4 linked regions of the Drosophila melanogaster genome follow. The protein of the gene in region 3 interacts with the protein of the main gene of each other region in a pairwise test. Each region holds a gene or a part of one and is shown on either strand. Other genes may lie near its edges.

What was found.
Region 1: the proteins of CG4328 (region 3) and CG2129 interact in a two-hybrid assay, tested with the Drosophila melanogaster proteins (one large-scale study listed by BioGRID).
Region 2: the proteins of CG4328 (region 3) and CG7856 interact in a two-hybrid assay, tested with the Drosophila melanogaster proteins (one large-scale study listed by BioGRID).
Region 4: the proteins of CG4328 (region 3) and CG15141 interact in a two-hybrid assay, tested with the Drosophila melanogaster proteins (one large-scale study listed by BioGRID).

Annotation. Positions count from the first base shown.
Region 1 is NC_004354.4:8,143,965-8,148,356, forward strand, and holds CG2129 (uncharacterized protein), read left to right. Parts: upstream 1-1,874; 5' UTR 1,875-1,984; coding exon 1,985-3,382; 3' UTR 3,383-3,891; downstream 3,892-4,392. Other genes in the region: alpha-PheRS (Phenylalanyl-tRNA synthetase, alpha-subunit), read right to left, coding at 35-1,531; CG15336 (uncharacterized protein), read left to right, coding at 4,051-4,392.
Region 2 is NT_033778.4:6,056,815-6,061,508, reverse strand, and holds CG7856 (uncharacterized protein), read left to right. Parts: upstream 1-1,950; 5' UTR 1,951-2,073; coding exon 2,074-4,125; 3' UTR 4,126-4,152; downstream 4,153-4,694.
Region 3 is NT_037436.4:12,290,441-12,297,953, reverse strand, and holds CG4328 (uncharacterized protein), read left to right. Parts: upstream 1-1,830; 5' UTR 1,831-2,083; coding exon 2,084-2,120; intron 2,121-4,986; coding exon 4,987-5,704; intron 5,705-5,856; coding exon 5,857-6,071; intron 6,072-6,127; coding exon 6,128-6,315; intron 6,316-6,383; coding exon 6,384-6,654; intron 6,655-6,712; coding exon 6,713-6,918; 3' UTR 6,919-6,998; downstream 6,999-7,513.
Region 4 is NT_033779.5:17,408,976-17,414,011, reverse strand, and holds CG15141 (uncharacterized protein), read right to left. Parts: upstream 3,372-5,036; 5' UTR 3,232-3,371; coding exon 2,394-3,231; intron 2,364-2,393; exon of another isoform or gene 2,327-2,363; coding exon of another isoform or gene 1,829-2,326; intron 1,773-1,828; coding exon of another isoform or gene 1,425-1,772; exon of another isoform or gene 1,379-1,424; intron 1,218-1,378; coding exon 841-1,217; 3' UTR 513-840; downstream 1-512. Other genes in the region: Rsph9 (radial spoke head protein 9), read left to right, coding at 1,425-1,772, 1,829-2,326; Polr2J (RNA polymerase II subunit J), read left to right, coding at 3,708-3,760, 3,835-3,924, 3,982-4,156, 4,219-4,254; CLIP-190 (cytoplasmic linker protein 190), read right to left, coding at 4,607-4,653, 4,713-4,921, 4,989-5,036.

The sequences.
Region 1 (4,392 bases), on a different chromosome or scaffold from region 3:
ATTTGATCGCAGGTCCTATTGATTTTTTAAGGTATTAAGCATGATCCAGCCGGCAGATGGGGCCCTCCTCCACCATCTTTAGATCCACTTTGGGTCCGACCAAATCGCGAATGTTGTTGATGCCGTACTTGATCATGGTGGGTCGCTCCAGCGACAGACCCCAGGCGATTACATTCACGTTCTCCGGCAGTCCCATGGGCAGCAGCATCTCCGGCCGGAAGACGCCCGAGTTGCCCACCTCGATCCACTTGGCCAGGCCGGGGTGATAGCAGAAGATCTCCATGCTGGGCTCGGTGTACGGATTGTACGCCGGCTTGAATTCAAGCTGCGTGATGCCCAGCTTTCTGAAGAACTCGTACAGCGTGCCAATGAGATCGCCCAGCGTCAGACCAACATCTGCAATCACGCCCTCCACCTGATGGAACTCCGCCAGATGTGTGGCGTCCAGTGTTTCGTTGCGGAACACCTTGTCGATGCTGAAGTACTTGGCTGCTTTGAAGCCGCCCTCCTGGTTGGCCAGCTTGTACAGCATCCTCGCACTCACGGCCGTCGTATGCGTGCGCAGTAGATTCTTCTGCGCCTCCTCCAGCTTCCAGTCGTAGCCGTAACCCTTCGATCCATAGCCACCCACAGAGTGCACCTTCTTCACGCGCTCCAGATAGTCCTGCGGAAACTTGTGGCTTTTGGCCGGATGATTCACGAAGAAGGTGTCGTGGGCATCGCGAGCTGGATGCTGTTGCGGCTGATAGAGCGCATCGAAGTTCCAGAATGACGATTCCACATAGTTGTTCGTAGGCATCTCTGAGAAGCCCATCTCGAGGAATATCTGCCGGAACTCAGTGCGCACTTTGAGCAAGGGATGGAGATGTCCACGCGTTGGTGGTGCACCCAACGCATCAAAGTTATAGGCCTTGAACTTGAGCTGGTCCCACAATCCATTTGCGAGCATTTCCACCGTGAGATCCGTCTCCAACTTGGTGAGAGTGGTGGCAAATTCAGGGCCGCGTGCCAGCACGAAGCTCTTGGTGGTCGTTTCCTGGAGGAGCTTGCGTTTCTTGAAGTCGGCCACCTCCTTGGCAGGCAGCTGGTCACCCTTTCCCAGCGCCACCTGCTGCAGTTGATTGCGCACCACATCCGTAATGGTGTCCACCTTGCGGCGCACCAGCGGCGGCGTGACGCTCTTGTCCACCAAAATCCAGCCGTGCGACATGGCTTTGCTAAAGCCCACTTTGGCATTTGCGCCACCGGCTGCCATTAGAGCCGCCTGGGCGATTCCCTCCGGCGGAACTAGGTCGTAGACCAGTGCCTCATGACTGCCATTCTCCACGACGGCGCGACCCTCGTCTGTGAGGCCCAAACTCTTGTGGGTGACCGTTTCCGCGGTGACTAGTTCGCCATGCGCCTGTATGCTCTTCAATGAGCCCACAATCTTCTGGTGATCCTCGGCAAAGAGTGCGGCCAGGTCCAGTGTGTCCGCCTTGTCGGTGGTCTCCAAATGCTGGAGAATGCGCTCCGTGAGATCGGGATGCATAGCTGGCGGTTCAATGGTTGTATCTTTCAAGGAAATTCGGAATTTCAATACCGGAATCTCGTGTTGCCACAACGCAGCCTATCGGAGCTATCGTTCTTCGATAACTGCGTCTATCGTTCGAAACGACGACGGTGGCTAAAAAATAGCCAATAAGCTTAAAATAGCTATAATTATATCTAGATATTGGAAATTTGTATAAATATTTCAGCGAATAGTAAGATATGATACTTTTGTCACTAACATTTCAAAAGTAAATGAAATAATAATAAAGATGTCTCATATAAAGAACTGGTTTCAACTCGGTTTATTTTTCCGCTTACCATCACAGTGGCACCTCCAATAAAAACAGCTGTTGACGCCAAGACTAAAAGTTTGCGTTCCAATTAGAACGGCGAATATATTCGAAAAAAGGAGCAAATCCTGGGGAGCAACGGCCAGGTGGGAGCCGCAATCATGCTCAAGTCCCTCAAGCCGGACACGTACGCCGGAATGGCGAACGCCAAGTGCGGCGAGATCTACTTCCAGAGCCTGCACAGCTTCCGCATCGACTGTGCGTTCTGCGAGATGAAGAGCTTTGTGTTCGGAGACTTCCTGCTCCACGTCCAGAACATTCACTTCGAGAACGGCCTGCTGAAGACGGAGGCAACGGACGCCGGTGCGAATCTCAAGCAGGAGCGGGATCGTGAGCGGGAGCCTAACTCGCCGGTGCCCATTGTGGCGCAGGTGAATCCATTTGCCTGGTACGAGATTGGTGGCGATCACAACGAGGACAGCGACGATGAGCGCGTTGTCCTGGAAAAGCAGGATGAGGACGAAGATGAGCGGCCAGGCAGAAGCATAATCAAGTGGCAGGACCATCAGTCGCTGACCAGCGAATCTCTACGTCAAGTCCGAGCCCTCAAGGTGGACTACAAGGAGGAAGACTCCGAGCAGGAGGAGTGCGGCATGGAGCTGGATCTGGACAGCGAAGGCAGGCACTCTGCCAAGATTCCGCACTCGTGTCCGCACTGCACAAAAGTTTACCAGAGCCGCAAGGTCCTCGAACGCCACATAATGCGCCAGCACAAAGACACTCTCTCGCCGGATGTGGACAGCGAGGACGCGGACTACGAGCCGCCCAAGGATGCGCCCGTCAAGTCCGCTGCCCAGGAGTACAAGTGCGAGCACTGCGGCAAGATCTACCATGGCAAATACAGTCTGCGTCAGCATTTAAAGCGGGATCATGACAACGGCGAGGAAGGAGGCTCCGCCATCTTCACCTGCCTGGAATGCGAGGCCCAATTGCCGCGCCTGCGCCTGCTGGACGAGCACATGGTGCAGGCGCATGGCGGCGCTGCCTGTGTGGTTTGCGGGCGGCGCTACAAGACGCGACACGAACTGAAACGCCACCAGCTCAAGCACACCAGCGAACGGAACGTGCCCTGCCCGCATCCCGGCTGCGGCAAGCGCTTCTTCACCATCCGTCATATGCGCAATCACGGCAAGGTGCACACGGAGCAAAAGAACTTCGTCTGCGAGAGCTGCGGCTACAGCTGCCGGAACAAGGAGACGCTGCGCGTCCACATCAGGAGCCACACGGGCGAACGGCCGTTCGGGTGTCAAGTGTGCGACAAAAGATTCCCCTCCCATTCCGGCCTGCGAGAGCACATGGCCATGCATTCCACGGAGCGACCGCATGTGTGCAGCGTTTGCGGTGCGACCTTCTCCCGACAGAAAGGCCTCTACCACCACAAGTTCCTGCACGCGGACACCAAGCAGTTCGTGTGCAAGCTGTGCGGGAATGCCTATGCCCAGGCCGCCGGTCTCGCTGGACATATGCGCAAGCACCGGAACGACGAGCTCAACGGATAGGATCCGGATCACCGAGGTCGTAGTCTAAGTTGTACGTTTTGTATCTTCCAATTCCGACGTTTAAGTTCAGGAACTCAGGCATAGGCTATATATAGGATTACCATAGAAATCAATGGTTTTTTGCATTGCTCCGGCATGGAGCGGGTATCATGTGACTCTTCGGTCCTCGTTTCACGGGTTTCCATCGAATTTATTTGACACGCACTGTAAATAATATCCCTAGTTTTAGATAAACTGAAAGTTTGTTAATCTGTTTCGAGTGAACTTAGTTTGAGGCAAATTTAATTGGCTCGATTGTAAGTACTAAGACTAAACTACATTTCCATGAATTTTCTAAACTACCAACTCAAATAATAACTAAACTTTGTTAAGGTTTAAACTATACATTAAGCACACAATGCTTCCAAGAACCAAATCGAACGCCGTAATCTCGGCAACCGGATGTGGCTAGTATTCGAATGGTTAACTTTTTTGTATTGATAAATATACATAACATGAATTTGATTCGCAAAAGAGAGCCCGCGTTTAAAATTAGCCAAGCGATTTGGTACCTTTGACAGCAATTAATCGGTCGACTGCTGCTAAAGCGGCCAAATGCCAAGATGGTATTGGATGGGGTGCGTCTAACAATAGTGCCGACGATTAGATTTGGCACACGCGGACCGACCATGTCGGCGGAACGTCCAGCTGCCAGCTCCGATAATCGGCGACTTATGTGCGAGTTCTGCGGCTATCGGACGCGCATCTATTGGAATCTGCAGATCCATCGTCGGCGACACACCGGCGAAATGCCCTTCAGTTGCCAGCAATGCCAGGCGCGTTTCCCGGCCAGCTATCAGCTGAAAAGCCACTTGGAGCGGCACTTGGACGCCGGCGAGCGACGCCAGCGGCACATTTGCACCGACTGCAACGTGGGTTTCTCCAGTTCGCGGGCCCTGTACCATCACCGGACGCTCCACGAGGATGGGAAGCGCTTCAAGTGCTCCCAGTGCGACAAGTCGTTCGCTCAG
Region 2 (4,694 bases), on a different chromosome or scaffold from region 3:
AGTTTACAACGTAGTAAATTGGAAACATATAAATCATATAACATATAATGTTATGATTATACACATATCGTCCCATGTTCCATTTTCCGTCCATATGAACGCTGTGATCTCGGGATAAAAAAAGCTAGAAAGTTATGATTTAGCCAGCAGGACCATTCCTACTGTCTGAGTAACGGATATCTGATAGTCGAGGAAGTCGACTACAGCGTTCTCTCTTGCTTTAAATACACATATTTGTGTTTATTGCAAGGGTATCTAAGCTTCGACTTATCGGCGCCATCTTCTTTTCAGGTTGTGTATTGCGTTTTATCCGTGGCCTTGCCGATGCCAATCTCTTTTGCCGAGGCATGGGTAATTTTCGGCAAATAGAACTCTTGCCCAGGCTCAAAAGTCTTAACACATGTCTTGGGGAGAATTGGAGTAGAAAAATTGTAACACATGGTTAAGCACATTTAATCGTTGGGGTCTTAACCTTTTAATTTTATCACCCGCTCAACTTAACATATTTAAAAGGGTTAGGTTTTGAAAGATCAACTGTTTTGGCTTAAAGGTAAAATCTGCTCTTTTCTTGACTTATTCATCTTGTCCACTATAAATGCACTTCGCGAGTCAACTAAAAAAAGAGTCCGAAAACGTCAAATAGCTGCTGGCAACAACAAAGAATATGTCAGTCTTTTTTCTAAATCAGGAAACTTTTTCTTTCCTGTATCAAACTTTTGGATAGGTTTTTCACGAGCGAAAGCGGAAAAGTTAAATTTTCCGCTTAGTCCTAGCCGTAGACAAGCCATTTCATTTAAGAGGCCATCCCATGGGATCACTGGGCAGGCAACAGCCATCAACAAGAGAAATGATTAAACTTGACTGACCAGACACGCGCCTTAATGTCGTCAATTGACCTCAATCAATTATACACAATATTTTTTATTTGACCTTCGTTTATTCCATTAGAGTTTTTTTTATTTGTATTAAAATTCGGCGATGTGACTGTAAAACGCATCTGAGGCAGCCATTTGGCCTAGGAATAACATTTTTTCATGATTTAGCGTTGTTGTACGAGCTGAATTTGGTATGTGCTAGATAAAAACCAGCCGTTAAGCAATTTCAAATGTCGGGACACGGGTGAAATAAGCATTTGCCACCCGCAGTCAGTTCCGAGCAGGGGATGTCTTGGATGCCCCGTTGCGAGCAACCGCTTAGCAAAAGGCAAAGCCAGATATTATATGTTATCACCAGCGATGTATTACTGCTTCTACAGCACAGTGACTCAATATACAAATAAAGGTGAGAAAAAAATGCGATTCTCCTTTTTTTGACTTGTGCAAGAGCTTTTGATTTTGGAAACGAAACGTAGCCCAGAGAGACAGGGTATGGCGTTCCGTTGTATTTCGTGTTAGATAAATCATAAAGCAAAAATAATTTAATACACTTGCGTGCCCTGGTTGTAGCTCTGGCGACGAGGCGTATGTGCAATGCGGCGTGTCGGTTAATCATTTGCTTCTTTTATGAGCAGCCAAGCCGAATAATAAGCCTCAAAGAAAAGCGAGCTTAAAGGTGCACCTCAAACTCTGTTAAATTCACGGCCTATCACGACGGCACGACCCAACGCTCAACGCCAACTCATTATTTCCCCTGCAGCTCTAATTAGAGTCAAATATAACTAGGGGGCCTTGAGGACCCCGTACGCTAGCCTTGGCCATATTTAATGCGAGCTGAAAGGTCCGCGAGTTATGCAAATTTGCCCCGCCCACCGAATGCTCCGAACATTGACAAAATTATGCGCAATCGCGGGCCAGTCTCTCGGCTACCAACTTCCGGCGACAAAGTCAAGTCATGGATGGACATCCTGACCTCGCCCGCGGGTCCAGCCATTAGTCGTCATTAAAGATGATTGAATGCGAGCCCCGCTTTTGCATTGTATAAAAGGGGCACACTCCTGGTGACAACAGGGTAGGTAAAGTTGCCTTGGCGTCAGTTGGCAGTTTGGGAAAAGCCTACACACTTAATATTTCGATAGATACACTTATTTCGCAATCGTAGAAGATACCACAAATCTCTCTTCCGTAAATTATAAGTATGTCCAAGAGGGTGAGCATCATGTTGCCCGACGAAATACCTGCGGCTCCGTCAGGCAGCAGGAGGAACCCGATGCCCAGCCGCACACTCAAAAGTTCCATTAAAAGTGGATCAAGCGCTCGGACGCAACCCGCACCGCCAGTGTTCGTGGTTGTCAACCCGGAGAGCAGCCAAAGCTCGCTTACCTCGGGTCAGCGGAACAACACCAGCACGACCAGCAACAGTTCCCTTAACCAACGAAATAAGGAGCACTCCGCGGCGAGGTTGTCAGTAACCGAAGATACGGCAGCCCTGGACAGCAGTGCCTTGCTTCAAGGTGGATCCTCAAACTCTCGTGATACAGTTAACTTCGATTCGACCTCCACCTCGATCAGGATGTTCCTTAAGAACACAGTGGGCCTTGTCAGGGCAGGAGAGTCCTTCACATCTGTAAAACATCTCTTTCACAAGTTCATCAAACGCAGCGGTTCTGTGCCAAATTCCAAGCGTTCGTTGACATCCTCCTGCTCCCAGGCGGTAGATGAGGAAAATCCCTATATGAGCAAGTCCAATGATACGCTTCTGACGGACTCGCCCACCCGCACTACTGTGCCCAGCACCTCCCAGATAACGCCCACCTCACATTTCTCCAACTGCTCATTCAATAACACGAACTACGACCTTTCCAACCTCCTCTCTGACATCACCCCTTTGACTGGCTACACGCCAGTGGGTCTCACTGAGGAGGCTGACTACCGAACAGACACTTCCGCAAACACCGCATTGAACAGTGTGACATGCAATTTGGCGAGCTCGTCGGAGAATCCTTTGGGAAGCGGATTCGACAACAGTCCCTCGAAGATTTCTACCGATCAGGAGAAGATAGCGGACACACAAGGACGTCCTACTTCCAGAAATCGCTTTAGCAGCAAATCTTTTCGCCAGAAACTTAAGACCTCGCGCTCTAGTTCACCCAGAAAGTCGCCCAAGATGTCACCTCGAAATAAGCAGTCAGCACCTGCAATGGAACCCATATTTGCAATGGTTAGTTCATCTGGGCCTAACTCTTCTGAGGGATCACGGCGATCGAGCAAATCGAGCCTGAGGCGGAAGCAAAGTCCATTACCCAACGTAACTGCCAAAATCTCGGCCACCTCTAATTCAAGAGCGGACTTGGCTAAAGCGCCCAAGTCCAGGAAAGAAACCACCGCCCGATCAAACCTATCAAGAAAGAGCTACCGCCGGAGTTCACCCAGAAGCCGAAGTCGAGGTTCTCGGGCAAACGCCTTAGAGAGCCCCCTTCAAAAGAGCGAGGACACCCCCGACAATGTAGAGTACGCCTTCGCTCTGGTCAGCCCTGAGGAGGCGGGGAACAGTCAGCCTGAAGAAAGTAGTGCCGGTGTCGAGGATGCCTCCTCCAAGTGCGAGACATACCAAAAGGATTGCAATTGCCACCATTGCCAGGACATGCGTCGGGCGGTCAAGAGGTCCGACTTTTTCAAATCTCCCGAGGGACAGAAGCGGCTAGAGGCGAAGCTACTGGCCAAGAACTTCTTCATGGACCTATGCGTAGCGTCAGAAGTGCGCCGACAGGCTCAGTCCGATCTGCATGGAAAACGACGTCCTCCATCAGCGCGTCTCAGTTACCCGGTGAGCATCTGTGGAGCGTGCAGGCTGAGCGGAGGCTCGCTGTCGTTGCATTGGATCACCCATGACCTTGACAGCGTAGACCACTTCGACGTTTTTGTGGACAACGTGCCAAACCGTAGTGTCTACAACCGGCAGGCCACCTCCACCGTGCTCGTCGACGTGAACACCACCGAGACGCACACGCTGCGCCTACGAGCGGTGCCGGAGCGTGGGAGCCGTGGTCAGGATTCCTCGGTGGACAAATTCATGTCGGAGGTGGCGGCCGGGCATATGCGTCACGTCAGGCAGGGCCAGCTCTTCGCCACGTGCTTCGCGCACCTGGACGCCCGGCCGCAACAGCGTTCACTGGTGGATTTCTGGACGGACAGCGAGTTCTTGTACATGCCCACCCGCGAAACTCTTACGCCTTCAAAGGCTCGCTGACTGGCGAAAATAAACTGATTTATGAGCAGCAGTCCGTTTTGGGAGTGGATATGCGGCAGGAACAGCTGCGTGGGTGAAAATTGATTAGGCTAATTTAGAAGTGATGACCAATCGGCGCACTAAACTCTCAGTGCAAAAGCAGTGGCCCGGCTCCCACCTGCACCACGTTTTGCGAGATATTCAAAACGAATCGTGGGCCTGGTGCGGCCATCAGTCAACGAGACATGGGCGCTAAGCATCCCGCGCGTCTTTATCAGTGGCTTGCAGGCAGGCTGGCTTGGCGTGGGGGGACTGGTACTGACGAAGGCGTTTCGCGCTGATCTGTCAGAGATTTTGGGCCGCAAAGTGGCATGATTAATTATTTGGCAAATATTTGGATTCCGCGCTCTCAGCTCAGCTGGCTTCACCATGGAAATAAGGAAAACCAAAAATATGCGGACTGGCACTTTCATAGAGGAAAGAACGGGCGAGAAACCCAAACCGTTCAGTATTTTAATTAATTTTCACTTTCGTTGGGGACTAGTGAGCATTCCATCGACAATGTGATGGACAGCTGTGGCAGCAGTGCC
Region 3 (7,513 bases):
GGATGGAGGAATAGATGGATGGATGCAGGGATGGAGGCGGTGGTGCCTCCAAAACCGCCGCCCTTGAGTTTCCATGTCTAGGCTCTGCGTAGACAAAGTGCCAAAAGTTTGGAAGCCTTTGCGAGATGAAGCTGAAGGGAGGAGAGAGAAATGTATATGAAAATTTCAAAATCACAACATCACAACAGAACTGCAACAATTACTCATCATCATCAGCTACAAATATAGATTTCTTAGAATATTGTTCAATAAATATTATTTATAAGATTTAACATAATACACATAGATATCGTTTAAGGTGCCAACTAAAAATATATAAGGTTAACAGTTAGTAAATGAACAAATTAAACAAAATAACAATTATTAATAATTACAAAATAAATTATTATGAATTACACAATACAGTTTAAATGATCTTACAATTTTTTATAAAAATGTATTTTTAAATCTTGCATTACTTAGCAATTGTTTTTGGCACTTAGTTAAACAAATGCCAACATTTATTGTCACTCCTTTATTAAGAAATTACATGTTTCCTACCTGATATAAAAGAAGCACAACAAAAGAAGTACCCATCGCAAAATCCCCCAGGATCAAGCATTTAATGTAGCTCCATTGTCCTTTAAATTCCCTGCACATCCCCGTGCTCCGTGTACTGATTATGAATCGCAAAGATTACCGCACATAACTATTATCATCGTCGGAGTTGGGAAAAGTGGGCTGGGAAAGCGAAAGATGGCTGGTTGGTTGCCAGTTAAATGGTTCGCCCGCACACTAATTGTGAGTAACACGTTCGCGTTTACGAAACTTTTCTGGGAATTTTCGTCGGAAAAGAGGCCAAGAGCCAGGAGTTTCGACCAGACAAGTCCTCATCTCGGCAACTGGGTACTGGGAACTCTGAACTGGAAGCTAGACATACAGTCAGCCGGCAAAGTGCTTAGACATTAAAGTTTTTGGCGCCCCGGTTTAATAGACCAGAAAATTCATTTTGGCCAGGTTTAAAGGGCCACCGGCCACCCTCATTAACAGCTAGCTCTTTGAGCAAAATTCTCCTGGACACTGGGCCGCAAACCTTAATTAAAGCAGCGGGACTGGTCTTTAAGCTTAGTCCTTTTTATAGCGTTCGAAAATCAATAAATTTAAAATGTACAAGCCACTGCGGGAAAAGGGAATAAAATCCTAGCCAGCTCACAAACACACACACACACGGTAAAAATAAAAATAAGAAAAGAAGGACAACAAAATTCCAGCCATTGAGGGAGAGTCCTGTTTTTTTTTGGGGGGGCGGGGATGTTGTTGCTGAGGCGACAAAGCAAGCAAGAAATCGCCGAGCCAAACATCCTTTTGTCAATACAAAATACGTACGTACAACAAAACAAATAAATGTGCCCACGAGCAAAGACAAAGACAAAAGTCAAAAGTGCAAAATGAAAAATCAAACAACAACAACAACAACAAAACCAGCAAAACACAAAAAGCCAAAACAACTCAGAAGCGCCACCCGGATTCAAAATCGGCATTAAAACGCATGAGATGAGATGAGATGGTATGATATGGGGGTTCCGATCGACGCATGCGCCAAAAGCTGGCGAATCTCACGGAAGCTGGGGAAAGGCAAATGGCTGGCTCTCAATGGCTTGCACGGGGATGGAGCCAAAAAGGATATGGGAGCACAGGATGTGCCATAAAATGGCGCACACGCACACACACACAAAGGCAAACAGTGGGCACTTCTCCTTCGGGTTGGAGAGAATTTCCTATCTCGGCAGCAGATGCTTGTGCATTTGGCCAAAGAAGAGCAAATGATTTTTAACAAATTTCATTAACATCAGAGGTCCGTAATCATTCAAGCATCGCGTTTCGTAACAGGGCCAGGTCAGAAGTCCGATACTGGCCGCCCCAAAACAACAGTTGCCAACTGCATTTCGAGTCCCCAAATGTGTCCTTAGGCGTCCTGAAAGCTGTGCTCACAAAATGTGCAAAGATACGTAGGAAAATCGCGTGAAAAGCCCTGAGAAAATTTCATAAATGTCTGTGAACGTGATTATATAGTTTTTCTATTCCCGAACTGAACGATTCCAAAATGATCGACGAACACCATCCCATGCAGATCGGAATGTGTAAGTATGGGCAAACCCGAGGAATATGAAGTCTGAATCTATTCCAATAACCGACGGCATTACAAGCCCAACATTCCCAATCCCGTCGGCATTTTTCTATCAGTTTATTAATTATGTTAAAAAGTGCTCATTAATTTATGGTATGTAAATAGCTTCAAGTAGAAGAGTGCATATATTTCATTCACTTTTTCTCTAGTTTAATCATAGTTTAAATATTAGCATCAAGTGATTAGCTCAAATCAAATACCTTTAGATAAGTGAATTAGGAATAAGCCACCATGTATCATGTGTTATATCGGTAATTGTGATATCACAATTGCACACTTTTCAAAGGTATAAAGTGGATTTTCGTTTTGGCCATTAGTGATTTTGATTTATAACAGTCAAAGAGATCAGCACATTTTATACAAATTTTATTCAGTTGAATTGGTTTTAAAAATACTAACTTAATAGCAGCATAAATAAGTTTTGCACATGAAATTATTAGAAACCAAAGATGAATTATTTGTGAAAATTTGCCATTTTCTTGCTAAATTCTACTTCGCACAAAGCAAATCCCAAGTTTAAACATTGCATCTCAACACTTTTGCTTCAATTTGCCTTCAGTGAATGCTATTTAGCACCCAGAGTGGCAAGTATGCATATGACCGACTGCACACACGTCCACTCGAATCCGACTGGCTGAAAGCCAATGAAAATTACAACATATTTTCCAGAGCAAAGCAAATTTTGACTTCTGTCAGAGATTAGGACAAAACAAAGCATTTGCGCTGCGATTGCTGGCACAACAAAACGGCAATGGCACCATAACTCTATTGTCTACTCAAATCCGATTAAATAAAGCGCTGTCAGTTGCTGCCGAGCGAACTGCTGGCAACTGACAGCGGATTCGGAGGCAGCACACAGCATCCTGGCAGCGCAGCCGACATCCTGGCAAGCATTTCCAAGGGTTTCCGCTTACCCACTCACTGTCGTCGACTGCCAACATATGCCGCCAGCAGCCAGCCGCCAGCCGCCGTAACCGAAATCCTGATCCCCTCCAGCCTCATCCTCATGCTTATTTGCTAAGCCCGAGCATATTTTCCGTAAGGGTGGAAATCCGCCAGCTAAATGCCCTCGGTTAGCCCCCGGATTCATTGAAATTCGTTTATAATCTACATAGTTATGAGCACTGCAAGGGGTGGCATTTGCAACCCGTCCCTCGATTTCCACTGCACATTAGAATCTAATTAGAGCGTGGGCAAGTGGAAGTGCTATCAATGTCGGCTTTACACTTGTCGTCCCAAAATCCTCGAGCTCTATTCTCCGACATGTCCGGCAAACATGTTGGTATATTTTCAAATGTCAAATGGCAATGACAGAGCACTAAAAGTGTAACAGGTGTGGTTGTTGAGCGGATTATTCCGCTGCACATCTTAGGAAATAGCTTCCCGCAGTTCCAAGTGTCACAAGTTAATGGGTATCGGGAATGGGGAGATCAGGACCTTGGAAATTGGGTTAAACACTGCTGGAGACTTCAGTTGCTATGAATAAGTAGCATATTGAAAAGTTTATAAAGCCAAAATACACCCAACGAACATAGCACACATGTCAGCAATATTTTGTTACACATAAATGAAGTTTAATTCATTATTAAATATATAAAAAGAATTGTATATAAAGGTGAAAACTCAAAAAATGCTTTAAAAAAATATATATAATGCTAATGCCAAAAGTTACAAAATAATTCAAAGAACAAGTTTTCAGCTTAATTTCTAAATGTTTTTAGATAGAGCAAAGCTAAATTGTTTCTGCAGGTTTTATATTGCGGTGGTTTTGTATAAATCAACCAAAAACTATATTGAATTTCATTTAGAGTACTGAAGTCACAAAAATATTTGCTGACTATTTTACAAATCGCTTAATTGGTTGACAAAACACTATTTGATTCCCATTTTCCCAGCTATTTTTCTGCATAGTTTTTCTATATCCAAATGGCAATTAAATGCAGTCCAATTAAATGTACTGAGAGCTGCAATCGACTATTTTCGCATTTATTTGTCATTTGGCAGAACAAACTGAGTGCAAGCTGGTCTAGAGCAATTCACGTCAATCAGTGCAAGAGGTGTAGCAAAAATTGTTAATGTAAACGATGGCTGGAATACTTTAACATTCTGGGCATATTTCTGGCATAAATTGGCATACCAGATATTATTTTTGCAAAACATTTAATGAAATTACGCACACATTTAAATCACTCAAATGCGGAATGACAAACACACACGCATGTGAAACGCACACCAGTGAAAACAAGGGAAAAACCAAACAAAATGAACGTCACACACACACAGAGGAGCACAAAAGCTGGAAGCTCGAAACAAATTACGTTGAAATTTCAACAATTTGCCATAAATTGAGACAACAAGGCACAAAAAGCCAACCAGTCAGCACCGCAAATGTACAGTAATTTTTTGCCACCAAGCCAAACAATCGCACATACGCATCGGTTACGCATACGCCACGTTGGTCGTATTTTTTACATGCCACATTTCGCATGGCATTTCGGGGAATTTCGAGTGCAGTCGCACTCACACTCGCACATTTACTCACACTCTTTCCGTTGGTGGAAAAGTCATTTCAATAATTGCAAAACCACAAATTTACTACAACTCGAAACGGTTATGGTCACAGTGCGAGGCAGATGGACATTGGTCCTGCCCGCAAAAACGGGAACCCTTTTTATGCCTGATGACCGAACCATAGTTGTAAATTGAGGGCGCTCTTGGCCACATTGAAAATAAAAATAACTGAAATGTTTCTCATTTGCATGTTCCTTTGGGGCGGTGGGCTGATCTGGACCAACGACACGACCGCAAAACCAAAATAGTTCCGATGGACATAAAATGTCAACAGCAGCAACTGGGTGCTGGCCAACTGCCGCAAACTGGGGGCCTCAATCAACTGCTGCTGTTGAACGGAAATGAACGCATGTTAACAACACCAACGACAGCAGCAACATCGGTGGTGGTGGCAGCCGGAAGGAGTGCGAGTACCAAAGCCGGAGTAGCCCACAATGACAAAATGGCGTCAGTCAGCAGAACTGTCAACGGAAGTTGCAGTAACCACAACAGCAGCAACAGCAGCAGCAGTAGCAGCACCAACAGCAGCAGCAACATGGCCATAAACAAGCAACCGATGGGCATGGGACCGGGCACAGGAACCGGAATGGGAACAGGAACAGGACATGGTCCAGGACCACCCAACCATACACACTGCAACCGCATCACTTTGGGCGAGTGCAGCCTCAATGGAATGGACGGCTTTGCAACGCCGGCAGCACCTCCATCGGCATCCAACACACCGCAAGCGCCTCTGGGAATGGCCTCCAATTCCGGCATGGGCATGGAACTGGGCCTGGCCATGGCATCGCCGCAGCTGAGCCAGTGCGCCCACTGCTGCCAGCCCATTTGCGATCGCTACATCATGCGCGTGGTGGAGAACTCCTTCCACGAGGGCTGCCTCAAGTGCACCGCCTGCTCGCTGCACCTGGTCCACTCCTGTTATGCGAGGGAGGGCAAACTCTACTGCCGCGTCGACTACGAGAGGTGAGTCCTGATTACTGAACCCTGCCAAACGGGGGGCGCTTAAAACAATCAACTCCGTGTGAGTTGCACTTACTTTAAAATGGTAGTGTTTATTAAATGGTACAGCTTAATATTTGAATGATATGATATATATTTATATTTTCGCTCCACAGACTCTACATCCGCAATCATTGCCTTGGCTGTGGCCTTAAAATCGCCGCCGATGAGCTGGTGATGCGATGCCACGAGAACGTCTTCCATCTAAAGTGCTTCGCCTGTGTGGTGTGTGGAGCTCTGCTGAAGAAGGGGGAGCAGTATGTGGTCAAACAGGGGCAGCTCTTCTGCCGCTTCGACTACGAGAAGGAGGTGGAGATGCTACAGGGATACGGTGGGTAATGGCCCTATTCGAAATCGGTTCCCAATGATAACCATATAACTATGTAGATTTCTATGGCGATGAGCTTTTCCCGCCCAAATTAGACGGACGAAGAGGACCCAAGCGACCGAGAACCATTCTAAACACGCAGCAAAGACGAGCTTTTAAGGCCTCCTTCGAAGTCTCACCGAAACCGTGTCGAAAAGTGAGAGAGAATCTGGCCAAGGATACTGGATTAAGCCTGAGAATTGTGCAGGTGCGTAAAGAGGTTTAAATGGAATTTAATCATTACATATTCTATTAAACCAATATCGTATTTTGTAGGTTTGGTTCCAGAACCAGCGAGCCAAGGTCAAAAAGATTCAGAAGAAGGCCAAGCAGGAGCCGCCCAGCAAAGGAGCTAGTGACTCGCAGGACTCGCAGGAATCGCTGGACAGCAGTCTGGCCACCAAAATCAAGGACGAGGCGCACAGCGACAGCGAATCACAGCTGGAATCGCCGTACTCGACGACCTCCGATGGACTGACCCGGATGCGATGCACCATTAAGGACGAACAGGAGCAAGTGCCCTTCAACTGTATGGAGACCAATAAAGGTGGGTTATGCCCTTTAAGGATATTTACGTATCAAGGAATATAAAATACAATTTACAGAGAACTGCAACAAGAACAGCGAGCCCATATTGAACACCATTCTAGGTCTGAGCTACGCCACCTTTCAGCAACTAATGGGTCCCTTTGCCCAGACGCCTATGATCAATCCGATCGACCGACTATATAGTATGCAAAGCTCCTACTTCCGGCCGGAGGAGCTGCAATCCTACGGCGAATGCGGCGTCAAGGACTCCATGGATCACTAGTCCGCCCGGCGAAGGCCGTCGAATTTTAAGCCCAAATCAAAATTAGACCTTGTAAAATAAAAGAATGTTAATGTGCTAGCAATCGAACTTAAACACCCCGAACCCGGATAAGTGGATTTACTGCCCTTCCACCCCCCTTGGAAGCTGGACCACTTGCGCAATCCACCCACCGGCCGGGTTGGTGGTTGGTGCATCCCATGTTGGTGGCTCTGCAGGTGCAGTCTCGAAATTAGTTCCGCTCGGTTGACAGGCACAAAGCATTTGCCACAGCAGTCGCAACCCTGCTGAATTCGTCCTTTCGGCTCGGAATGGGCGTAAAATGCCGATTCGTCATGCGTAGTTCAAAGGCTCGGATACGAAGGGATCCGGAACCGTATCCTCCCCACGATGACGAGCCGTTTGATAGCGTCGACATGAATGTGCTGCAAATGCCGCCCAAGGACAGCACTTTTAACTAGCATCCTGGCCTTTCGTTTTGCTTGAGCGGAAGAACTGCATCGGAATGTCCCAAACCCAAAATCTAAGACAAATTGGGTGGTAAATCCTTAAGCTTTCAAAGGCATAGAAAACCAAACTATAAAAAATGCTTTTTAAC
Region 4 (5,036 bases), on a different chromosome or scaffold from region 3:
GCAGTACAGTGGATAGCATTCCGCCGTTTCAAATCGGACAGAGGAATAACCATATGTATCTGCCGGAGAATTCAAACTTTCCGGTAAACGGCTGTAGTCCTACCCATTTCAGTGGTGGCTCTATGACACCAATCAATAATAACAACAATGTACTAATTAATAACAATAACAATGACTTTTTAAGTCAGAAAATGAGTGCCATAAGCATACCGCCACAAGGAAATTTTGGCATTAAACAGGTATATCAACAGACTCAGCAGTTCCTGCCGCAATTGCAGCCAGAGTCCATTCCATATCTGGCCCAATCCCATCCAGAACAGTCGCAGTACCAACAGCAACAGCAGCCACAGGAGCAGCAACCTCCAGCAGATGAACCCACCCAATCGTTTAGTGATCTAATTTCCAGCAGCATAGGCATGGCGCCCATTGACACCAGCGAACTTATCCAGGACATTGAGGCAGAACTCAATAGCTTGGGAATTCAGCCATTCAAATGAACAACAAACTTTGCTAAATACTAGTGTACATATATTTCATAAAATATATCGGAAATTAACCAATTAGAGCTACATGTAAAAAGGTCTCAATCCAAAATGAACTTCAACACAAAACCTGTCTTATATAATTCTATTTTACCGCAATGTACATAAATTTAATGAGGGAAATGCGAATCTCATTGCCCGATGCCTTGTTACGACTTTTCGTTATTGACAAAAGTGAATTGAAAATGATTATTGTTTAAATAAAATATAACTTTAGAATTTACATGATGTATGTATGTATGTTTCGCTTTCATGGGGGAATGTGGGTAATACTAGAGTAATATAGAGTGCTAACTGTTTAGCGACAGAAATAGGGCTGACCCAGGTTGGCATTGTTCTCATTGCGCATGCCGGCAAAGAACCGATTGATATCCTCCTCGGTCACTACCTTCTTGCTGGCGGCGAATGCCTGCAGGTATTCCTTTAGCTTGTCCTTCATGCGATTGTATTCGGTAATCGCATCGATTTGCTGTGTCCGGTCAATGGAGGCCAGTGCCCGGATTCCTTGCTCATAACTGGAATTCTCTTCAGCCCGCTTCATGCCGCGCTCCTCGTACGTCTTAGCCGAATCCTCGACATCCAGCAGAAACTCCACGGCAAGTTCCTTGTAAAGCGACAGGCATTCGGAGCACTGACAGAGTGATTTTCGCCAGTCATTTGTCCAGAAAGCAGCTCCTTGAAAGAGAAAGGGTAGAGATGAATAAATGGGGGAAATTGGCAGTTCAAAGAGTTTGTGCTGATTTATGCATGCCATGTAATTAAAAATCCATTCCGCTAACATATTTTTTTTTACGGTTCTGAGTTTTCTTTCAAATACTCTCAGCACTTAAATCCATATTTTATTTCAACACTTCACATATAAATTGCTAAGATACTTTCGTCATGAATTTGGAGTTCTTCACCGAGGGCCTCGACTGCCTAATGTACTGCGGCATGAAGCTGTCGCCGGAGCAGCGCATCTTGATTGAAAACTCGCTGATCGCTTTACAAAATGACAATCGTTTTACGGGCATGTATCTTTGGGGTCGCATTACGGCCACCAAGAACGATTACTACATTGCCTTTGGCTACACTAATGACTGTCTCAAGGATCGCAAGTATTTCTACAGTCTGGACCAGTTCCAATGGCAGTTGCTGCCGTTCGTACAGAGCCCCAAGATATTTCAGGCGACTATATTGGCAAGGGAGCCATTTATAGGAGATCCCAGCCTGATGACCTACGTTAAGCTGGTGAGTTGATAGTACGTAAATGTGGTGGTGGTTTTTCTGATATTGTACGCACACAGGACCCCACTTTTGACATCGTAGGCAATCAGGTGGCTGGTATCAGCCGCCCTGAAGTGGTCAAGCTTAAGGAGGAGGAACGGCTGGCAGCCATTGTGTTTATTATAACAGAGGAGTGTGCCATTTGCCCACGCGGAGCCTTTTACAAGATGACCGATGGTCGTGTTATACCCAACCAGATGTTTCGTGGACTGAATGACTTGCAGATCGACAACCAATCATATTACCAGCTCTATCGCCTGCCCCGCAATGATCTCAAAGTCAATTTGGCCAAGAGGAGCGACTATAACTATGCTATTGACTTTCTGGACACCATTGACTGCGTAATACCACTGTGTCAGGCTTTTGCCCTGAATATGCAACGGAACGAGGGTTTGGTAATAATCAAGTCGTGCCTTTGGTTGGGCATGACATTCTTTCACAAAATCAACTCCCACAAGCATGGTTTCCTTTACTTGGGCGATGGCAAGAAGAACTTTGACTTGCTTTTCATGTATTAAGGTTGCTTTTGCATAAATATGTTTTTTTTTTGAGCATACGCATGTATATCTATATTAATTTACTCACCCTGATGCTCCTTGGTTGGTTTGGGCCGACGACAATCGTCCAGTTTGGCGCGCTTCTGGCTGGGTTCGCCTTCGTCTGGCTGAGATTCACCTTCAGGAACTTTCATGATATCGCAGATGCTGCGGTCCAACTCGTTCTTCAGCTGGCTATCGTCAGCCTCCGGCTTGTCCTCCTTCGCATCTTCTAGCACAGGCTGCAGGGCTAATCCAGTGTAGTCCTTTAGGAAGGGTTTGGCATCCATGCAGCCATCGCAAATCATTTCGCTGCAGACATCCAGCCACTTGTCGCTGGCGCCGGGCGCTTTCATGTGCGGCAAGTGGAACCAGTCCTCGCAGATGGCGCACTGCAGCATAACCTCCTCAACGGTGCGATCGGGATCGGGATAGGGTCGCTTGCACTTGCAGTACAGCCCCTGGAAGTTCTGGTTATACAGATTGCCCACGTTACGTGGTTGAACGCCCTCGACTTGTGGGTTCAGGGAGCACTTGCCCAGACGCTGGGTGGGACAATCGCAGCGGAAATTCCGCTTAGTATAGAGCTCCACCAGTTCGTGGTGCTCGTGACAGCGATAGGAGCAGGCCAAGCAGACTCCTGCGGCCTTGTCCAGATCCTCGCGCGCCTCGGGGCAACAAGTGAGGCACGAGTACAGAGCCTGTCGGCCGATGGGGCCCTTGGCGTAAGTGCACGACTTCTCATCGGAGGCGCCCAGCACTGCGGCGTACTCGTCCTCCAGCTCCTTTTCCTGTTCCAGGACATCTAGCATCGTAATGGTCGACTGCTCCAGCGGATTGGACTCCTCAACCTCGTGGACACCATCTGTGGCATTCGACTCGCTCATGTCAGCTGTTTAATAATGTATTTTTAGCTTGGCTTCGTGTCAGTTTCTCGAAAGTGGCGGAATGCGCAGCGTTTGGCGCGATTGGATAAAAATTTGCAAATAATTCAACCACCGAAACCTAGGGATGGCCCACAACAGCTTGTCTATGCGATAGGTATCGGCTGCCAGTGTTGGTTGCAAGAAGTGATTAAGCTATTTATTTAATGACCAAAAAACATAAGCAAATTAAATTATTTTCAAATTCAAAGTACAAGTTTTATTTTATTTAATAGATGCTCACATTAAAAATGATTTATAAAATACTAAAATAAATTAGCTAGGCGTTCTAGCTACTTTTTGCTAGATATAGCTACTTTAGCTTGTGTTGCACTTGGGCGTTAGTCAACACTGTACCGGAGAATTTTGCTGAGCGTGCTGCTGATTTTAATAAACAATTTATAAGTTTTGCAGTAACTAACGAAAAGTAAGACATCAAAATGAACGCACCACCTACCTTTGAGTCATTTCTGCTCTATGAAGGCGAGAAAAAGTGAGTAAAGAAAACAGACTACTCCGAATGACCACCTTTAACCCGTTTTTATGTTTGTTATGGCGCGGCTGCAGAATCATCAAGGAACTGGACACCAAAGTGACCAATGCGGCTATATTCACCATAAACAAAGAGGATCACACGCTGGGCAACATGATCCGCAAGTATGTTGGCCAACAAGCCCGTCTGATTACACATTAAATTTGCATTCTTGCCTGCAGCCAACTGCTGAAGGATCCCAATGTTCTGTTTGCCGGCTACAAGGTTCCGCATCCTCTGGAGCACAAGTTCGTCATCCGCATCCAGACTACGGCCGATTATTCTCCGCAGGAAGCATTCATGAACGCCATAACCGATCTTCTAGCAGAATTATCTCTCTTCGAAGAGCGTTTCAAAGTATTACCTGCACAAAACGTCCTCGAAACATTTCTTTAATATCCATGTTTCTCTGATTTCAGGACGCCATCAAGGAGAAGAAGGAGGGCGGCGATTAATCATATAATTACCAATTAATTCCTTAGTCTTATGAAAACCCAATAAAAGCTTCTTCTTCCACGTTCTTGATTTTATTTTTTACACTATGTTTACACTCAAAAATTACGAAAACAACCGATTGTGTGTTTGCCACGAATCGCATTCAATAAATAAAAACAATTTAAAATAGACTACTATCCATGGATGTGTGCATAACGCAAGATCACAATTTTAAGTAGAGAAATTTCTTTGTGTGATTGAGTGAAGCTCTGCTGAGGTAAAAGTATCTCATCTGATAGATCTCGCAATATGGTTATGCTATAGAGTCTAAAACAAAGTAAAATGGAAATAATAGAATTTAACTAGAGCTAACTAATAGGTTTCATCATCGGCACATTCGCTCGTATCGTGGCCAAAAACTGTAATTGGGAAAAACATTGTTAAATGTCAGTAAAATTTGATATTTTATTTTACTCACCCTCGCAGGAATCACAGTATTTCCTGGGTGCCGGCAGCTTCCGCTCCTTCTCGTTGTTGTTGGACTCGGATGACGGTGTGGAGTAGTCTTGATCTTCGCTTCCCTGGATTGGACAATCCTCCGTATCGTGCTGATCAAACTCATCGCAGATGTCGCAGAAAAGTCTGGGAGCCGGTTTCCGCTTTGTCAGGGCATCGAAGGCATGAGGTCTTAAATATATTATATACATTTATGAACGAAAATGCTTCGACCGAGATGAAAAAGAATTTAACTCACTTGGTGAAATCCATTGGCAAGGTTTCAAGGGTCTGCACCTTTGCCTTG